Saccharomyces cerevisiae S288C: one gene and its partners. The protein of the gene in region 1 purifies or fractionates together with the protein of each later gene. This does not show direct contact. Each region holds a gene or a part of one and is shown on either strand. Other genes may lie near its edges.

Region 1 (6,784 bases):
TTTGCACACATTAATGTTTAAAATTGAAACTACGAAGCAAAACAATAAAAAAAACAAACAAAACTTAAAAATAAACAAAAGACGCTCGAAACCAAGTGCATTTATTGAATGTTTTTGGGAATGCAAGTAGCAATACTATTGTAAAAGTACTACTATTTCCCTGTATCATACGCTTTTACTACTATTCCTCACATAAAGCGAGATGCTTACAGAATGCATAAGAGAGAGAAGAAAACCCTATTACGCCCACTTGTCTATATTAGATTACTGTCCCTATTTATATCATCATTGCAAAACGTGAGCACCTCATTAGACGTAGATTCTTGCATAAGTATTACTAGCAGGAGAGGAAAAACTCCACCCACACACCTCAACATGCTGAGAATTTTGCTGCGAGCAGCAAGAGGCAAAATCCAAATTTAAAGTAATTTACGCATAGAAGACATTGTAAAGGGATTGCAAAGACGTAGAGTACGCAAGTTAGAAACCGTTCATCTTTTAAAACTCCCAAGTTTTGACAAATTTGCGAGTGTGTGTGTTTCTGCTGATCTTGACGAGATTAAACTTTGTTCCTGAAGCAACAACGACAGCAACTGAACATCCTCTGAATAAGTTAATATGTTTTCCGCTCAAAAGCCAATATATGGCAATGGAGCAGGCGTGAACATGGGTGGTGGTGGTCCTTCAACTAATAATCCAGGATCTATGTCCATGCCTGGGGTTCCAACTTCAATGGGTCCAGGCATGAATCAACAAATTCCAAGTGGAGGCCCCATGCTAATGGGCAATACTCCGAATAATAATAATAGCAATGAAAATGGCGAGAACAACGGCAATAACGGCAATAACGGCGGTAACGATGCTAACGCAACTCGAAACAATCCCAACATGGTCAATAATAGAGGCGCAGTGCATGCTCTAGATGATCCCAATGTATACCACTGGATTTGTCAATTGACCTACGGCCCTCAAAAGGAACAAGCACTGCTTGAATTAGGTCGCAAAAGAGAACAGTTTGATGACCTTGCCGTTGTGCTTTGGTCTTCCTTTGGTGTAATGACCTCATTGCTGAACGAAATCATTTCCGTATATCCCATGCTGCAACCTCAGATGCTCTCTAACAATCTATCAAATCGTGTATGCAACGCTCTAGTTCTTCTACAGTGTGTTGCATCTCACCCAGAGACAAAACATCTCTTTTTACAGGCCCATATTCCTCTCTTTCTTTTCCCCTTCCTAAATACTACCTCCAGGCAAAGAACTTTTGAGTACTTGAGATTGACTTCATTAGGTGTGATAGGCGCATTGGTCAAAAATGACTCACAAGACGTAATAACGTTTTTGCTAAGAACCGATATCGTGCCGTTATGCCTAAGGATCATGGAATCTTCTTCTGAGCTTTCCAAGACAGTCGCCATTTTCATTTTACAGAAAATCCTACTAGATGACGTTGGATTGCAATACATCTGTGCCACCTTGGAAAGGTTCTACGCCGTAACTAATGTCTTAAAAGATATGGTTGAGCACTTGACCGTGAGCACACCACCGGGACGACTACTGAAACATATCATTAGATGCTACTTAAGATTAAGCGACGATCTCGAAGCACGCAGGCTATTGAAAATAGTCTTACCTGCCAAACTGAGAGATAACACTTTTACGGAAGTACTAAGAGACGACGTCGGGTCCAAGAGATGTCTGGCACAATTGCTACTGACATTAAACGAAGAAACCTCATGATGCATCCCCATAGATATATTACTGTTTTTCTCTTTCTATTTTCCTGTATTGTTTTAACCTTGCCTTTTTGTTTTAGTTTCACTTCCTCACCTCTCCTAATTTTGTATAGTTATATTTATATGCATGAAATGTATAAAGTCCACTCATATTTCAGAATGGTTTAAGTTAAGTGCCAGAAGGTTCTTCTGTACTATTACTATTACCCATTTTTCATCCTATCACCCGGAATGTACCCCTTGTGTCATTCACTACGACGCCACGAACCACGATTCTATTTTTTTCGAAATCTAAAGGTTTCGTCAAGATCAATGAAATATACATAGGCGTTTTTTTGGATACGAGTTGCATTGTTGAGAACACAATTCTTTACAAATAAGTGCAAGGGAGGAATTGTGTGTGCTCATTACCAACGTACTTCTTCAGTTATTCTGCTAAACCCGTTTTTTTGTTCTTAGCTTCATCCAGGTGAGCCCGCAAACATTACAGAACGACGTATAATACAAAATAACTAAACAAATACGGATAGGACAAAAGCCAAGAAGCGATACTAAATCACAGAGCGAATCAACATGTCTGCACATACTTACAAAAAGTTTGAAAACTCGACCTCGGGCGATTTACCTGATAAAATGACCATTTATCAGGATTGTATGAACACGTTTAACGAATCACCTGTCAATTCCAAGAGATGTCGTTTATTGATTTCTCGCTTGCTGAGACTCTTGGCCCAGGGCGAAACCTTCCCACAGAATGAAGCAACTGCATTATTTTTCTCTATCTCCAAATTATTTCAACACCAGAACGATCCTTTAAGGCAGGCTGTTTATTTGGCAATCAAGGAATTGAGTGGCATTTCGGAGGATGTGTTGATGGCAACCTCTTCAATCATGAAGGACGTTCAAAACGGTTCCGATTTGATTAAGCCTGACGCTATTAGATCGCTGACTTATGTCTTGGATGAATCTACTGCTTTTTCCGCTGAAAGGTTATTAAAAAGTGCCGTGGTAAGTAGACATCCTTCAATATCCTCAGCAGCATTATGTACTTCTTATCATTTGCTGCCCATTTCAGAAGTCACTATCAGAAGATTCACCAATGAAACTCAAGAAGCTGTTTTGGATTTGAAACAATTTCCAAATCAACACGGTAATAGCGAATATTATCCAAACTCCACTTATATTTCTCAATATCATGCTCTTGGGTTGCTTTATCAACTGAAGAAAACTGATAAAATGGCGTTACTAAAATTGGTTAGACATTTCTCTGAAAACAATTCTATGAAAAATCAATTGGCCAAGGTAGAATTGGTCAAGATTGTCAACGATTTGATTTATAGGGATCCTCAATTATTTAGTCAATTCAGGCCACTTTTGTCTGATTGGCTATCCAACAAGTTCGAATCTGTTCAGTTGGAAACGGCGAAATTGATTACTTCTTTCGCTACTCGCAATTCCCGCTTAGTGGCTCCCGAGTTATATGCGGCAGCTATCAGTGCTTTACAGTCCTTACTGACCGTTCCTCGTGTTTCTTCTAGATTCGCTGCATTGAGAATCTTAAATAGAATATCCATGGTTTCACCAGAAAAGATTGTTGTTTGTAATCCTGAACTAGAATCTTTAATTAATGATTCTAATAGAAACATTTCTACTTATGCAATCACCACTTTATTGAAGACAGGAACTTCCAAAAATATTTCATCTCTGATTTCGACTATTACTAATTTTATCCATGATGTCAGTGATGACTTTAAGATCATTATTATTGACGCCGTTCGTACGTTGTCTTTGAACTTCCCACAGGAATGGAAGTCAATTTTGAACTTCTTAATCGATGTTTTGAAAAATAGTGAAGGTGGATTCAAATTTAAAAACAGTATTGTCGAAGCATTAATCGATATTGTTTCATTTGTTCCACAGTCTAAAGAACTCGCCTTAGAAAACTTGTGTGATTTCATCGAGGATTGTGAATTCAACGAAATACTAGTGAGAATACTACATCTTTTGGGTAAAGAAGGTCCATCTGCCCCAAATCCATCATTATATGTTAGACATATTTATAACAGAGTGGTGTTGGAAAATTCTATTATTAGATCTGCTGCCGTTGTAGCTTTATCTAAGTTTGCTTTGACGAAGAACGATCCTACCTTATATGAGTCAATCATAAGTTTGTTAAAGAGAATCGCTAATGATAAAGACGATGAAGTCAGAGACAGAGCCACCATTGCACTAGAATTCATTGATTCGGCTAGGAATAAAGATGATGTTATAGCACAAAATCTAATCGAATCCAAATATTTTTACGATATTCCATCATTAGAGTCAAAATTAAGTTCTTACATTTCCTCAAATACTGATTCATTTGCAACTGCATTTGATGTGAATCAAGTTCGTAAGTTTACTGAGGATGAAATGAAGGCAATAAATCTGAAGAGAAAGCAAGAACAAATTTTCAATCAAAAGTCTGAAACCACTTTGGATACTACACCAGAGGCAGAGAGTGTTCCAGAAAAAAGAGCTGACGCTAATTCATTTGCTGGTCCAAACTTGGACGACCACCAAGAAGATCTACTAGCTACTAAGTACGCTGACGAATTGCTATCCATTGAACAAATTAAACCATTTGGTCAATTAGTAAATAGTTCTAGGGCTATCTCATTAACTGAGCCAGAAGCAGAATTCGTTGTACGTGGTGTCAAACATCTCTTCAAAGACAATGTTGTTTTACAATTTAATATTACGAATACTCTGACGGATATTGCCCTAGACAATGTTTCTGTAGTCTGTACCCCTGAAATTTCTGATGAAGCTGAATTAGAAGAGCTATTCACCCTACAAGTGGACAGATTATTACCATCCGAGGAAGCAGCTTGTTACGTTGCATTCAAAAAACTTGATGAAATTGTAATGGAAGGTTTCTTGAACAACTTAACATTCACTACAAAAGAAATAAACCCTGACACTAATGAGCCATTTGATGGTGATGAAGGTTTCCAAGATGAATATGAAATTGACTCGATTTTCTTGAATGCTGGTGATTATGTTAAGAGTTCTTTCACTGGTAACTTCTCCGCTACATTTGATGAGTTGCCATGCGAAGAAGTTGCTGTTTTCAACATTCAAGAAGATTTATCCATACAAGAAGTAGTAGATAAGATTATTTTGAACAGTAGCTGCTTACCGGTGGAAAGTACCCAATTTGCTCCAAGTGATTCAAACTCCCACACCTTGAAATTATTTGGTAAGAGTGCTTTAACTGGATCTAAAGTAGCCCTACAGATTAAGATGATCAAGAGTTCGAAAGGTCTTGCTTTGAAAGTTCATGGTAAAGGTGAAGACAGCTTATTATGCTCTGATCTGGTGAATGGTCTAATGCAGTAAGCTGTGAAATTTTATTTCAGTTAATCCCTTCTTTTGTTATCAATAGTATTAAAAGAAATGCGTCAGCTTTAGCAAGCGTGCATGCAAATAAGGGAATGAACAGCAAGAACAATAATAAACCAAAAAAATCACGGATAGAATATGACGGATCATCACCACACGAAGAATAAATTATGTAATCTTTGTATAAACAAAATTTTTAAAGAAAAATACTATAATAGTTTGACAAGAGAAAACGAAATGGAAGAAACAGGACAACAGGGCAGAAAAAAGTTGACATTATGCAATTGATGAAAGAAGAAGAAGAAAAAAAACAAAAAAAAAGCACTAGTCTGACCAGGCATATTGTAAAAGGCTGCAGACCCTTGAACGCACTACACTTTTCACTGTATTCCGTTACCAACATTACTGTTTGACAGCGATGGATGCTGATGAATTGGAATTGAAAGGTCATTTGAAAAAATTGAAAAAAGAAGAATTGCTTAGAAGGAAACAGTTAAAAGAGAGTAATCTTCAGAAAAGAGAGCTTGAATATAATAATGCCTCAAAAAATACTTCAATATATATTTCTGGTCTTCCCACAGACAAAACAACGAAAGAAGGACTCACTGAGCAGTTTTGCAAGTATGGAATGATAAGAACCAATCGAGATGGGGAACCCCTTTGCAAGCTATATGTGAATGATAAAGGCGCTTTCAAAGGGGATGCCTTGATCACTTATTCCAAGGAAGAAAGTGTTACATTAGCAATCGAAATGATGAACGAGTCGATCTTCCTGGGAAAACAGATCAGGGTCGAAAGAGCCCAATTTCAAAACAAGGAAGGTGACAATATGCACGGGAAAGAAAATGATTTAAAGGAGTTCAACGGACCTGAGCCTCCAATAAAGAGGCTAAAAAAAGCGAAGTCTGAAGGGGAGGGGGAAGTAATAGATTACAATGACGATGAAAGCCTAGCAAAAGCTGATCGAACGGTGATATTTGCCAACGTATTCAATATTTACAAATCATACACAAATGATGATATAAATGATATTCAGGAAGATCTTTTGGAAGGCTGTGAAGAGATAGGTCAAGTAGACAGTATATCTGTATCTCCCAATAAGGGGGAAGCGACGGTCGTCTTTAAGAACAATAAAGTTGCATTGCAATGTTGCAAAATCATGACCGGACGTTATTTTGATGGGCAAAAGTTGCTTGCTTTCATTTCTGGAGATGAGAACACTTCAAGCACAAGTGACAAGAATGAGGACAGCGAAGTGGAAGATGACCTTATATAGAACTGCAGTAAAAAAATGTATTACCCCCATATCTTTGGTACTTAAGTAAAATAAGTGAACACAATGTAATAAACAGAATGGATTAGGGCTTTATGACTTCCCAGTACAAAATAAATGTCGATATAATACTTGAAAATGCAAGCAATGCCATCAAAAAATTTGAGCGGTACGAGAATCGAACCCGTGTCCCCACCTTGGAAGGGTGGGATGATAACCACTACACTAACCGCCCATGTGTTGGATGGTGTAACTGTAATGACGAGGTAATAAGTGATGGCGACTATATCACCACCGAAACACAGCGATTACTTAAAAGGGTAATCACTACTGCGATTCTAATTGTTGGAATAAACCAAACCTCTTCCGATAATGTTGGAACGAGAGTAAT
Region 2 (6,936 bases), on another chromosome or scaffold:
CGGTTTGGTTCTGAAAGTAAAAACAATGACTCTGAAAAATCCGTTAGAAAGCCATCGGTGCCCTCTACAATAAAGAAATCAACAAATATCGCACGAACTTCGACGGCTGAAACTTCTGCCCCTGATATACCGCCAAGAAGTCCAAATAGGAATGCTCATAGCAGGAGCCATTCTATCCAGGCACCATTACAAAAGGAAACATTAAAGAATACTAATCCATTTTTGAATGCTGAGGATACCTTAGGAGATTCTCTTGAATTAACACAGTCCAAGGAAGCGTCAGGAAACGATCACAAAGGAATTGAATATTTACAAGAAAACAACATCATTGGGCAGAGAACCAACCCCTTCACAACAAGCGCAAATTCAAATGCACATTTCTCCAAGATAAAACGTTCGAGGCCTCCACCACCGCCTATGGACATGAAGTCAATAACAACGTCAATAAGCAACAATACTACTAAGGAAGAAATAGAGAGTAATAATGATTCTGAGCGGGATAGTATTGCAATCTCATCCACCCACAATCAACATAGGCGGCAGCGTTCAGAAGCAGAAAAGTTGGTAGATGATATTGAAAATTACATTAATGAACACAAGGTAAGTTCCGGTAGCTCACTATCCCTAGACACGTCTGAAAACTCAGATACTAAAGCATCGCAAGATAAGTTGCCAGTAGATGTCATGGAAGCTCCCATTTTGAGAAATGTCAGCGCGGAGAGTTCCTTAAGCTACGTAAAACCACTTATTGTGGATAATGAAGAAGTAAATAAAGCAAGTAACGGAAATTTAGTACAATCAGATCATCTAAAAGAATTTTCTTCGAATCTGGATGATGGGGATGATAAATTTTCCTTTAGTACATCGGCTAGTGGTAAATCCACCAAAAGCCTTCAGCAAGTTTCTAAAGACGAATCTAGTGGTTTTAAAGCTGCACATTTTGATTTTGCATATAAATCAAATGAGCACCTTGGGAGTGATGGAAGTATTGCAAGCGCCAGAAAGCCTCTGCGGATAACTAATGAGATTGATAGCGGTTCTTCCAACGAGGATGATGATGATGGTCTTCAGGAAAAAGGTTTTGTGGATAGTGAAAGTAAAGCATTTATAAATTACGCAAGTGATCAAGGCTCATCTATAAAAAATGACGTCTCAACACAAGAGCCTGAGTTACCAAGTCATCGTAGAATATTTAGGGTGGTTAATGAAGATCGCCCTAGTTTCTATTTAAATAGTGTAAACGATACGGGCAGTCTAACCGACAAGCATTCTTTTGACACTGCATCATCTGGTGAGTATGATGCCAAGTCAAACTTCTCTAGCCAGTCAGGACTTTCTATATCAAAAGGCTCTAAATCAACTGTTTTGGCTGCTCTTGACTCAAACGGAAACACAAAATCATCAAATAAAACATCCGAGTTAAACAGTTTAAACTCCATTTCAGAAAGTTTAGTGCCGGCTGCTCACTCGTTCAATGAACACACAGTTACTATCCCTGCAACGGTGGATTTACCAAATCCGGTACATGATGCCCCAAGCGAAAGATCTGTCAAATGTTCACCGTTAACATCTGTCGTATCGAACAAATCGGAAAAGTCCGTGCCTTTGGTTTCTAGTTACGTAGAAGAACTGCGACTAAAGTATTACAAGACTTCTAACTTTTTACAAGCGCCTCCTAACTTGCCGGTTGCTCTAAAACAAAAAAATAATTTGATTCAACCCAAGAATATTAAGGTCAAGTTGAGGACAAGTTCTAAGCAAATTGGTATCAAGCATGGTAAAGTTAAACAGAAATTACTGGCGTTGGAGACAAGAAATGAAGAATCAGATGGAACCGCTACAGGGCTGAAAAATAAAATCAATGTTGACCACACAAAGGAATTCCATAAATTGTTAGGGAAGGAAAATGAAACTGGCTCTATTTCAAAAAAAGAAGGCACTGACGCAGAACAAGCCGAAGACTACCTCAAGGACATACCCGGTGATGAAGCATATAACAGTGATGATATAATGGCGCCTTTACGAGAAAAAAGAGGGCAAAACGGTTCTGTTGATTCCGTGTCAAGATCTAACACGGTAGTCAGCTACTACACAAGGTCTCAGAACAGAATGAGAAGTGGAACACTGGATAATGATTACGTGAACAGACAAAAGCTTCCTACACATATCTCTCTTCAAGATTATCGTGATGCTAATGCTAGAAGTAATATATCGCGTCAGGACTCTGTCTCCACAACGAACTCTGATGTGGTAGACCTCAGCTATTCTCTGGGGCATGGCTTGCGTGTGGCAAACCCTGATTCAGACCCAGAATGATATCCTTCTCTGTAGTTTTGTAGATGTCATATATGTACGTTTATGGAACAGCATTTTAGAAAAGTATTACCCAGCTTATCACTTCGTTTTTTTTTTCTTTCCGTGTACTCGCTACACGTAGAAAGAAATCAGAAAACAACAGCTCGACAAGTGAAATTTGACGTTCATTAAGACTCAGTTAAGATTGCCTTGAGAATAAACAAAAGTAATCACAGTTAACTATTGAACAAGAGTGCACCTATGACTTCACTTTCTTCACAGCCAGCGTACACGTTGGTTTTCGATCCTTCTCCGAGTATGGAGACTTACTCGAGTACCGATTTTCAGAAAGCTCTTGAAAAGGGATCTGATGAACAAAAAATTGACACGATGAAATCAATTTTAGTTACAATGCTGGAAGGAAATCCAATGCCTGAATTGTTGATGCACATAATAAGATTTGTCATGCCTTCTAAAAATAAGGAATTAAAAAAGCTTTTGTACTTCTACTGGGAAATTGTTCCCAAACTAGCTGAAGATGGAAAATTGAGACATGAAATGATTCTTGTCTGTAATGCCATTCAACACGATTTGCAACATCCTAATGAATATATTAGAGGTAACACATTAAGGTTTTTAACGAAATTGAGAGAGGCCGAACTCTTAGAACAGATGGTTCCCTCTGTCTTAGCGTGCTTGGAATACCGTCATGCATATGTTCGTAAGTATGCAATCCTAGCAGTTTTCTCCATTTTCAAGGTCAGCGAACATTTACTTCCCGATGCTAAAGAAATCATCAATTCGTTCATAGTAGCTGAAACTGATCCAATATGTAAAAGAAATGCATTTATTGGGTTAGCTGAATTAGATCGTGAAAATGCCTTACACTATTTAGAGAACAATATTGCTGATATAGAAAACCTAGACCCTTTATTACAAGCTGTCTTTGTTCAATTTATCAGACAAGATGCAAACAGGACCCCTGCTTTGAAAGCCCAATATATCGAATTATTGATGGAACTGCTTTCGACCACGACTTCCGATGAAGTCATCTTCGAGACCGCATTAGCCCTAACTGTGTTGTCTGCCAATCCAAATGTCTTGGTTCCTGCGGTTAACAAATTGATTGACTTGGCCGTCAAGGTTTCTGATAATAACATTAAGTTAATTGTTCTAGACCGTATTCAAGACATCAATGCTAATAACGTAGGTGCTTTGGAAGAGTTAACCCTGGATATTTTGAGAGTCTTGAATGCAGAAGATTTAGACGTTCGTTCAAAGGCGCTTGATATTTCAATGGACTTGGCCACATCCAGAAATGCTGAAGATGTTGTTCAGCTTTTGAAGAAAGAGCTGCAAACAACCGTAAATAACCCAGATCAAGACAAGGCAATGCAGTACAGACAATTGTTAATAAAAACTATTCGTACCGTGGCTGTAAACTTTGTAGAAATGGCAGCAAGTGTTGTTTCGCTATTATTAGATTTCATCGGTGATTTAAACTCGGTTGCCGCCAGTGGTATCATTGCCTTTATCAAAGAAGTGATCGAAAAATACCCACAACTTAGAGCCAATATCCTTGAAAACATGGTTCAAACGCTAGACAAAGTGAGATCTGCTAAAGCTTACCGCGGTGCATTATGGATTATGGGTGAGTATGCTGAAGGAGAAAGTGAGATACAACATTGTTGGAAGCACATTCGTAACAGCGTAGGTGAAGTTCCTATCCTTCAATCAGAAATCAAAAAGTTAACACAAAACCAAGAACACACCGAAGAAAATGAGGTTGACGCTACCGCCAAGCCAACTGGTCCAGTTATTCTACCAGACGGTACGTATGCCACTGAAAGCGCTTTCGATGTGAAGACTTCTCAAAAGTCAGTTACCGATGAAGAACGTGATTCTAGACCTCCAATTCGCCGGTTTGTTTTAAGTGGTGATTTCTACACAGCTGCCATTCTGGCCAACACCATCATTAAACTTGTTTTAAAATTCGAAAACGTTTCCAAGAACAAAACTGTCATCAATGCTCTAAAGGCGGAAGCTTTACTAATTTTAGTTAGTATTGTAAGAGTGGGTCAAAGCTCTTTGGTGGAGAAAAAAATTGATGAAGATTCTTTAGAGAGAGTTATGACATCTATTTCTATTTTATTGGATGAAGTTAATCCTGAGGAAAAGAAGGAAGAAGTTAAACTTCTGGAGGTTGCATTCCTGGACACCACCAAATCCTCATTCAAGAGACAAATTGAAATTGCAAAGAAGAACAAGCATAAGAGAGCATTAAAAGACAGTTGCAAAAACATCGAACCAATTGATACGCCGATTTCTTTCAGGCAATTTGCTGGTGTGGATTCTACTAATGTGCAAAAAGATAGTATTGAAGAAGATTTACAACTGGCAATGAAAGGAGATGCAATCCACGCTACTAGCAGCTCTAGTATTTCGAAGCTGAAGAAGATAGTACCTTTATGTGGCTTTTCTGATCCAGTTTACGCCGAGGCTTGTATTACAAACAATCAATTTGACGTCGTATTAGATGTTCTTCTTGTTAATCAAACGAAAGAAACATTGAAAAACCTACATGTGCAATTTGCAACTCTTGGTGATTTGAAGATTATTGACACACCACAGAAGACCAACGTGATTCCTCATGGCTTCCACAAATTCACTGTTACTGTCAAAGTTTCCTCTGCTGACACAGGTGTCATTTTCGGTAATATTATTTATGATGGTGCGCATGGTGAAGATGCTCGTTATGTTATTTTAAACGACGTTCATGTTGACATTATGGATTATATCAAACCAGCCACTGCTGACGATGAACATTTCCGTACCATGTGGAATGCATTTGAGTGGGAGAACAAAATATCGGTCAAATCACAACTACCAACATTGCATGCTTATTTGAGAGAACTGGTCAAGGGAACTAATATGGGTATTCTAACACCATCAGAGTCGTTGGGAGAAGATGATTGTAGGTTCTTAAGTTGTAATCTGTATGCGAAGTCGTCCTTTGGTGAAGATGCCCTAGCCAACTTGTGTATCGAAAAGGATTCCAAAACCAATGATGTCATAGGTTATGTTCGTATCCGATCAAAGGGACAAGGTTTGGCTCTGTCCCTAGGTGACAGAGTGGCATTGATTGCTAAGAAGACCAATAAACTTGCTCTCACTCATGTTTGAACCACCCTGAGCTGATGCAATGTAAGTTATAATGTCAAAGGAGATAAGAATAAAACTTAAAAAATTCGAAAAGAAATAAAAAAATAAGGAAAATCTTTAAATAGATTTTAATTGCGTAGGAATCTTTGTTCTCATTTTTAAACAAGTATTCACTTTTATGTACATTTTCTTTCCTAAAAATCTTTATACAGAGTTGAGTTGTGAGTTGTGTAAGAGACGTCCAATTTTATAACAATTTGTAGACATCTCAGTGCCCCAAAGAGAACTATATGATTGAAAAATGGAGAGAGATAGTATCTTGTACAGTTTATATATTTACATGACGAATGGGAAATTATATATGCCCTTTGCCTTTCTGCCATAGAGCATGGCTAACTGGCCAGGACCATGAGATTGTATTCTTATTTCTCCTCTCCGAAAAATGGGAACTGGAACCCACTCAACAAAGTTCTCGCCTGGTAATCTAATTGAGCTGAGGTGTTTATATTTATGTGCATACCAAAAGTTTTAGGCCATGAGTCCTGGTTTGCATCGATTTCAGGGAAGAATTTGATATCTTCAGCCGTCAGGCCGAAACTAATCCCACCAAATCTGTTCCCAGACTGGTTGCTTATACCTTTATATTCTCTGATTCTTGGTAGGACGATTTCGGTCAATGTGCTTAAGAACTGAGACATTTCTTTTCCCTTTAGTTCGACTTTAGCTCCCATCTGATGACCTTTTCTCAGTTTCCAGGTTGGAACATCATTTTTGGAAAAAATTGGATGAGGTTTACATCCAGTAATTTGTTGTAATTGTAACGCAGCGGTGATAGCCAATAGCTGATTTTCTCTCGCTTCCCTAACAAAACAGTTTATTACAACACTTTCTAGCCCAGGAATGTTACTCCATTTGATAGGATGAATGTCAGGTAGTTGAGCTTTCGAACCTCGAGGATTTTTCGGTGGTCTGTTCAAGTGGTATGGCGAATCACCACTCCACGCTCTTTGTTTTAGACCCTTTACCACCGCAGCGTTATGTGAATAATTAATCAATAACAAATCAGATTGTAAAGTGTTAAGGTAATGGTCATTGAGTCTATCTGCATGAGTGTCTTTTGGTTTAAATCCAGGTGACCTAATATCACTTTTGTCATATTTCAATTCTGGAAATCTAGGGGATAACTTTGACTTATCAATTTTCACCAAGTGATGAACTGGTTTGACCAAAGAGCATGCAGATTTGGGCTTCACACAGGAGTGAGAGAATGATCTGTGAGTGACTAGTGAAAACCTTTGCATTTTGTTCGTGAATCTCGAGCCCTCTTCAAAGTGGTACAACTAAAAAAACAAAGGAGAGTATTTACACTATTTCCGGTCCTGTCTATTACTTTACAGATACCTCCCCAAATTAGTTATAAAATTCTAAACAGATGCTTTTCCTGTCTTTTTATTCTTCTGTTTTCGAAAGGCCCTTCGT
Region 3 (5,224 bases), on another chromosome or scaffold:
TTCCTTTTATATAAAATTATATACAAATCTATATCGCCTAGTCCTAATTTTTTGAATTTTGCCTTTTCAATTCGTGAAAAATCTGTTTCTTATGTGTCAGTAGATCATAGAAAATCTTAAAACCAATTTCATTATCATCGGTGATCTTTGACTGGATAATACAATTGGCAAATTCTTGTGAAATTGAGACGGTAAACTCATCTGCTACTTCATTACCGTTCTCTCCCATTTTCAGAATTTTAATTAATCTGTAAAAATGAGTTGTAATAGCGTCTAGTGTCGCTATGTGTGGTTTGCTTAGAGAGGACAGAGTAGTATAAAGGCCTCTTATTCTCTTGGTATCAAAGCCTTCTTCGTTGTCATCGTCCTGCTGATTCTCGGGAGATGATGTAGAATTTTGCAACGCAGTTTCAACTAAAGGTGGATAGTCAAGGTAAAGCACCCGAAGAATATCAGAGACATCATTGGGAATTAGTGGGTCTGGTAATTCTAATAAATAAATTTTAACAACACTGGCGATGGTGCTTGGCTCCAACTTGGACGTAGAAAGTATATCAAATATTTCCCCTTCGTTGTGGAACTGTTGTTTGTTCAATAGGTTTCGAAGCTGATGTGTTAAACTTAATTTCACCGAATCAGTCCAAATTGAAGTTCTTACTTTATCATTAGGTAAGTCAGGATATATTTTGTCCATATATGAGAATATCGAAGAAATTATCAACGGAACGACTTTCTTGTCTAGTCTACAACGAGTTTCTAGATCAACACCAAAGTTTTGAAATGAACCAGGATTGTAGTAATTATTATAAACAATGGCTTGCGGCTTGAAACTGCCCGTCTTGTACTTAACTAAAAGTTGCAAAAGGTCTGCAGTGGGATCAATATCGTTTTCTAGCGTGAGCATTTTATCTATGCACAGTCTTAACGAAGAAATCTTGTTACCCAAGGTAGAACAAAAATCTAGTGTCGCTTTCTTGATCGCATTCAGTCTATCGGACTCACATTTTTCCATAAACGACAAATGGTCAATCAACAACTCCTCAACCGAGCATCTCAAGGCATCCATCTTGAAGCACTCCTGGTAATACTTCTTATCTGACGCTGCAAGCGCATCCATCATTCTGAAAAGCGTCCTTTCATTATCGGATATATGCGGAGCTTGGATCTTCGCTGCCCCCTGGTCGTTACCAATCTTGGATTGAATAATTTCCTTTGCAGATGAACCATCCCAGTTGTTGAACCGGGATATTAAGGATTCACCAGTGGTAGGCTCCTCTGAACCGGGCATTGGCACATTGGCAAACATGTACGCGGTATTCTTCCATTGGTATTGAAATTTTTTAGAGTTGACAAATGTATTACCAACACCGTTGCAATATTTCAAAAACCCTAAATTCAACAAATCTTGGCCAAACGTTTCAGCTTGATCAATATCCTTTAACGACATGTGGTCAAGCAGAAACTTCGTTATTTCTCCACCATTGTTGGTGTTGCTCAAAGAATAACTAATGAGAGGTAGCTTATAGTCCGTTTTAGGAAGCTTGGTCAGTAACAGCTGAAGCGTCTCCTTCATTGTCTTATAATCAAAATCTATTCCCGCTATCCTGTTGAAAAATCTGTGATCCTTTTCCCTGGCCACATCTTCTTCGTATTTATTTTGTATTTTCAATGATTTCATTGCATTTGCTAGCTCATCTTCGTTGAAATGAGTTCTTTTAAATTCTTCTAGCTGCCTACATTTATTAAAATATTCCTTCTCCAGCTTACCGACGTACTTTTTAGACTTCCTGAAATTATTTACATTGGTCAACAAAGTCTTCTCGGAGTATTGAATTCTCTCCCTATGTTCTATGCACCATTTACTGAATGGCTGCAGCACCAAACTTTCTATGTTCGACGCTATTGTCAAGTGATGCGTCCCTTCCTGAGACATTTCCTGTAGAATTCCCCTCAGGGCCCTCGAAACTGTCACCCCTTCATCTTCATCTTCCTGCACTGCCTTCAGATTGTCCATACCGGCTTCTATACCAAACAACTGCCTCCCGTGACTGACTTCAAATTGCATTCTTGACGCAAATAATTGAATGAACAAGTCGCATTGCTCACAACCATGGTATAATCTATCAAAAAGCACATCTAGACCTGAGACAAGGTCTTCAGACCAAAAATAGTCGCAAAATGATAGCATGCTCGCTTGCAGGTGTACAACATCTATTACAATTCAACGGAATATTATTCCTGTTTCATAATATTTCAATTTCCATCTATTATTGTCATTACGTCTTGGTATCACTATACACGAGTAGAGAAACAGTATGAACTCTTAAGAATGTTTTTGATCTTTTAATAGAAGCCTTAATTGGTATTGAATAATTATAATTATACCAATAAAATTAACAAATAGTTAGCATCAGGGAATTTGTATTTTATGATGATGTTAATTACTATGAAAAGTACAGTACTGTTGAGTGTTTTTACCGTCTTAGCGACATGGGCTGGATTGCTAGAAGCTCATCCATTGGGTGACACTTCAGATGCATCCAAATTAAGCTCAGACTACTCGCTCCCTGATCTCATTAATGCACGTAAAGTGCCCAATAACTGGCAAACTGGAGAACAAGCTAGTCTAGAGGAAGGGAGAATTGTATTGACTTCTAAGCAAAATTCCAAGGGTTCACTTTGGTTGAAGCAAGGATTCGATTTGAAGGATTCTTTTACTATGGAGTGGACATTTAGGAGTGTTGGTTATTCTGGCCAAACCGACGGTGGCATATCATTTTGGTTTGTTCAAGATTCTAACGTACCACGCGATAAGCAGTTATACAATGGGCCAGTGAACTATGATGGTTTACAATTATTAGTGGATAACAATGGTCCATTGGGCCCAACACTTCGTGGTCAACTAAATGATGGTCAAAAGCCTGTAGATAAGACGAAAATCTATGATCAGAGTTTTGCATCTTGTTTGATGGGTTATCAGGATTCCTCCGTTCCTTCCACGATCAGAGTAACTTATGATTTGGAAGACGACAACTTATTAAAAGTTCAGGTGGACAATAAAGTCTGTTTCCAAACTAGGAAGGTTCGCTTTCCCTCTGGGTCTTACCGTATTGGTGTCACCGCTCAAAATGGAGCAGTGAATAATAATGCAGAGTCTTTTGAAATATTCAAAATGCAATTTTTTAATGGCGTGATTGAAGATTCTTTGATCCCTAATGTGAATGCAATGGGTCAGCCAAAACTGATCACCAAATACATTGACCAACAAACCGGCAAAGAAAAATTGATTGAAAAAACAGCATTTGACGCTGACAAAGACAAAATTACAAACTATGAATTGTATAAGAAACTGGATAGAGTTGAAGGTAAAATTCTTGCGAACGATATCAATGCTTTAGAAACAAAGCTAAATGATGTCATTAAGGTCCAACAAGAGCTATTATCATTCATGACTACGATAACTAAACAGCTCTCTTCTAAGCCACCAGCTAATAATGAAAAGGGAACGTCCACCGATGATGCAATCGCTGAGGATAAAGAAAATTTCAAAGACTTCTTATCAATCAATCAGAAATTGGAGAAAGTCCTGGTTGAACAAGAAAAGTATAGGGAAGCTACCAAACGTCATGGACAAGATGGTCCTCAGGTCGACGAAATTGCCAGAAAACTAATGATTTGGTTACTTCCATTAATTTTCATTATGTTGGTTATGGCATATTACACATTCAGAATCAGACAAGAGATCATAAAGACCAAACTGCTATGATTTTGGATTATTCCTTCCACTCAAACCAATTGTGCACATGCATTCCCTATATATGTATATATATGTAACAATACATATTTTATAAAATAACGAACGATAGTTTATATTACTACTTCAACAATGGTTTATTTCTTATTGGAGTGTTCCCTACATTATGTTTTACTTCTTTCAATTATTCATAGCTACTTCGTTGCTGAAGTTAGCCAGGTTGTCCGGTTTAGCGGCGACCGGATCCGTCGCCACCACTGGATTAGCATTTGTGTTCTTTACTTCAGTGTCCAGCTTAACAGCCGTTTTATCCCCAGCGACATTTTGTGGTACTTTGTTCACATGAGAATAAATGTATGGAGGTTTAAAATCCTTAATGTTACAATTTCCTAGGAAGTTTGGGTTCGGTACCCTCTTTGTTGTTATTGTTTCATCCGTATTCGTTATTTCGTTAAAATTTGTAGTAACACTCGTTTGCGCCAACACATCTTTCAAATATTTATTTTTGAATTCATCCAATTGAGACCGTTTCAAACCGATAGGAATACCTGCCTTGTACTGCCAGTACTTTTTCCATTTTTTTGTCCTAACTTTTCTAACGTTCTGCAAACCGGTATTAACAAAAACGGCATCGTGTAAATGCTCTAGTTCTTTAATTTCGTTCGGTGTCAGCTGTTTCAACCTTTCTAGCAGCGTGTTTTTTTCATATAACGGCAATCCTCTATAATATTGCTGTTTACCTGAATTCTCGGCGGATTTTAATGGCAAAGATTCAAATTTCCAGCCGTTTATGTTTAACGATGTATTATTTTTGTGTTGGCCCTTGTTCATGGGTTTTATCATTTCGTTCTCCTCAGACTTCTTGTTTTTTGATGAGGAAACGTTAATATCAAGAATGCTACTTAGCATTCGTTTGATTGGTTTATTGCTAGGATTGACAGATGGAATATGGTTAGGAAGTGAAATTGAAGCGGAACCATCAGGAGCTTGACTTTCATATTGCGCAAGTAATTCTTCATGTCTTCCGATTGGTATGTCCATTGCCTTCATTTGCAGAGCTTGTTGAAATGAGTTTTTGCTGTGATAACGCGGTACTCTAAATTGTGCACTGAGTTCCAATGTTCCACTAATGCTTTGACCAGGAACAATTGCCGAAATGTGCTCACCTTTGGCAAAGTTTTCAATATAGGCTTCTCTAATCTCCGCTGACGGTTGTTCCGTGACTATTGGATACTGTGATTCGAATTTTGAAGTAGAAATCGTACAGGTATTATTAGTGTTCGCACTAATTTCATTGGCATTGCTAATCCTGTTATTTTGGAAGGAGGGGCGTAAAAGTGAGATTTTAGAAATTAAATTTGTTGATAATTTGAAAACCCTTTGGTGAGACGACAAATTTTGCTTTTTAGCTAAAGATTCCCAATAATCATCAACGATGCGTTGACCACCGGCAATAACAGAAGCACCGAA

The links. Proteins that work in one complex are often made in the same cells at the same time.
Region 2: the proteins of SEC21 (region 1) and SEC26 purify together in Saccharomyces cerevisiae (affinity purification with mass spectrometry; 4 studies listed by BioGRID). This does not show direct contact.
Region 3: the proteins of SEC21 (region 1) and EMP47 purify together in Saccharomyces cerevisiae (affinity purification with western blotting; 2 studies listed by BioGRID, with this or other methods). This does not show direct contact.

Annotation. Positions count from the first base shown.
Region 1 is NC_001146.8:89,685-96,468, forward strand, and holds SEC21 (coatomer subunit gamma), read left to right. Parts: upstream 1-2,309; coding exon 2,310-5,117; downstream 5,118-6,784. Other genes in the region: CCR4-NOT core subunit CAF40, read left to right, coding at 619-1,740; U2 snRNP complex subunit CUS2, read left to right, coding at 5,539-6,396. UniProt on the Saccharomyces cerevisiae protein: The coatomer is a cytosolic protein complex that binds to dilysine motifs and reversibly associates with Golgi non-clathrin-coated vesicles, which further mediate biosynthetic protein transport from the ER, via the Golgi up to the trans Golgi network.
Region 2 is NC_001136.10:936,437-943,372, reverse strand, and holds SEC26 (coatomer subunit beta), read left to right. Parts: upstream 1-2,556; coding exon 2,557-5,478; downstream 5,479-6,936. Other genes in the region: YDR239C (uncharacterized protein), read left to right, coding at 1-2,316; mitochondrial 54S ribosomal protein uL5m MRPL7, read right to left, coding at 5,880-6,758. UniProt on the Saccharomyces cerevisiae protein: The coatomer is a cytosolic protein complex that binds to dilysine motifs and reversibly associates with Golgi non-clathrin-coated vesicles, which further mediate biosynthetic protein transport from the ER, via the Golgi up to the trans Golgi network.
Region 3 is NC_001138.5:37,385-42,608, reverse strand, and holds EMP47 (Emp47p), read left to right. Parts: upstream 1-2,428; coding exon 2,429-3,766; downstream 3,767-5,224. Other genes in the region: GTPase-activating protein RGD2, read right to left, coding at 44-2,188; SWP82 (Swp82p), read right to left, coding at 3,935-5,224. UniProt on the Saccharomyces cerevisiae protein: Involved in the secretion of glycoproteins and in nucleus architecture and gene silencing. Required for the endoplasmic reticulum exit of EMP46.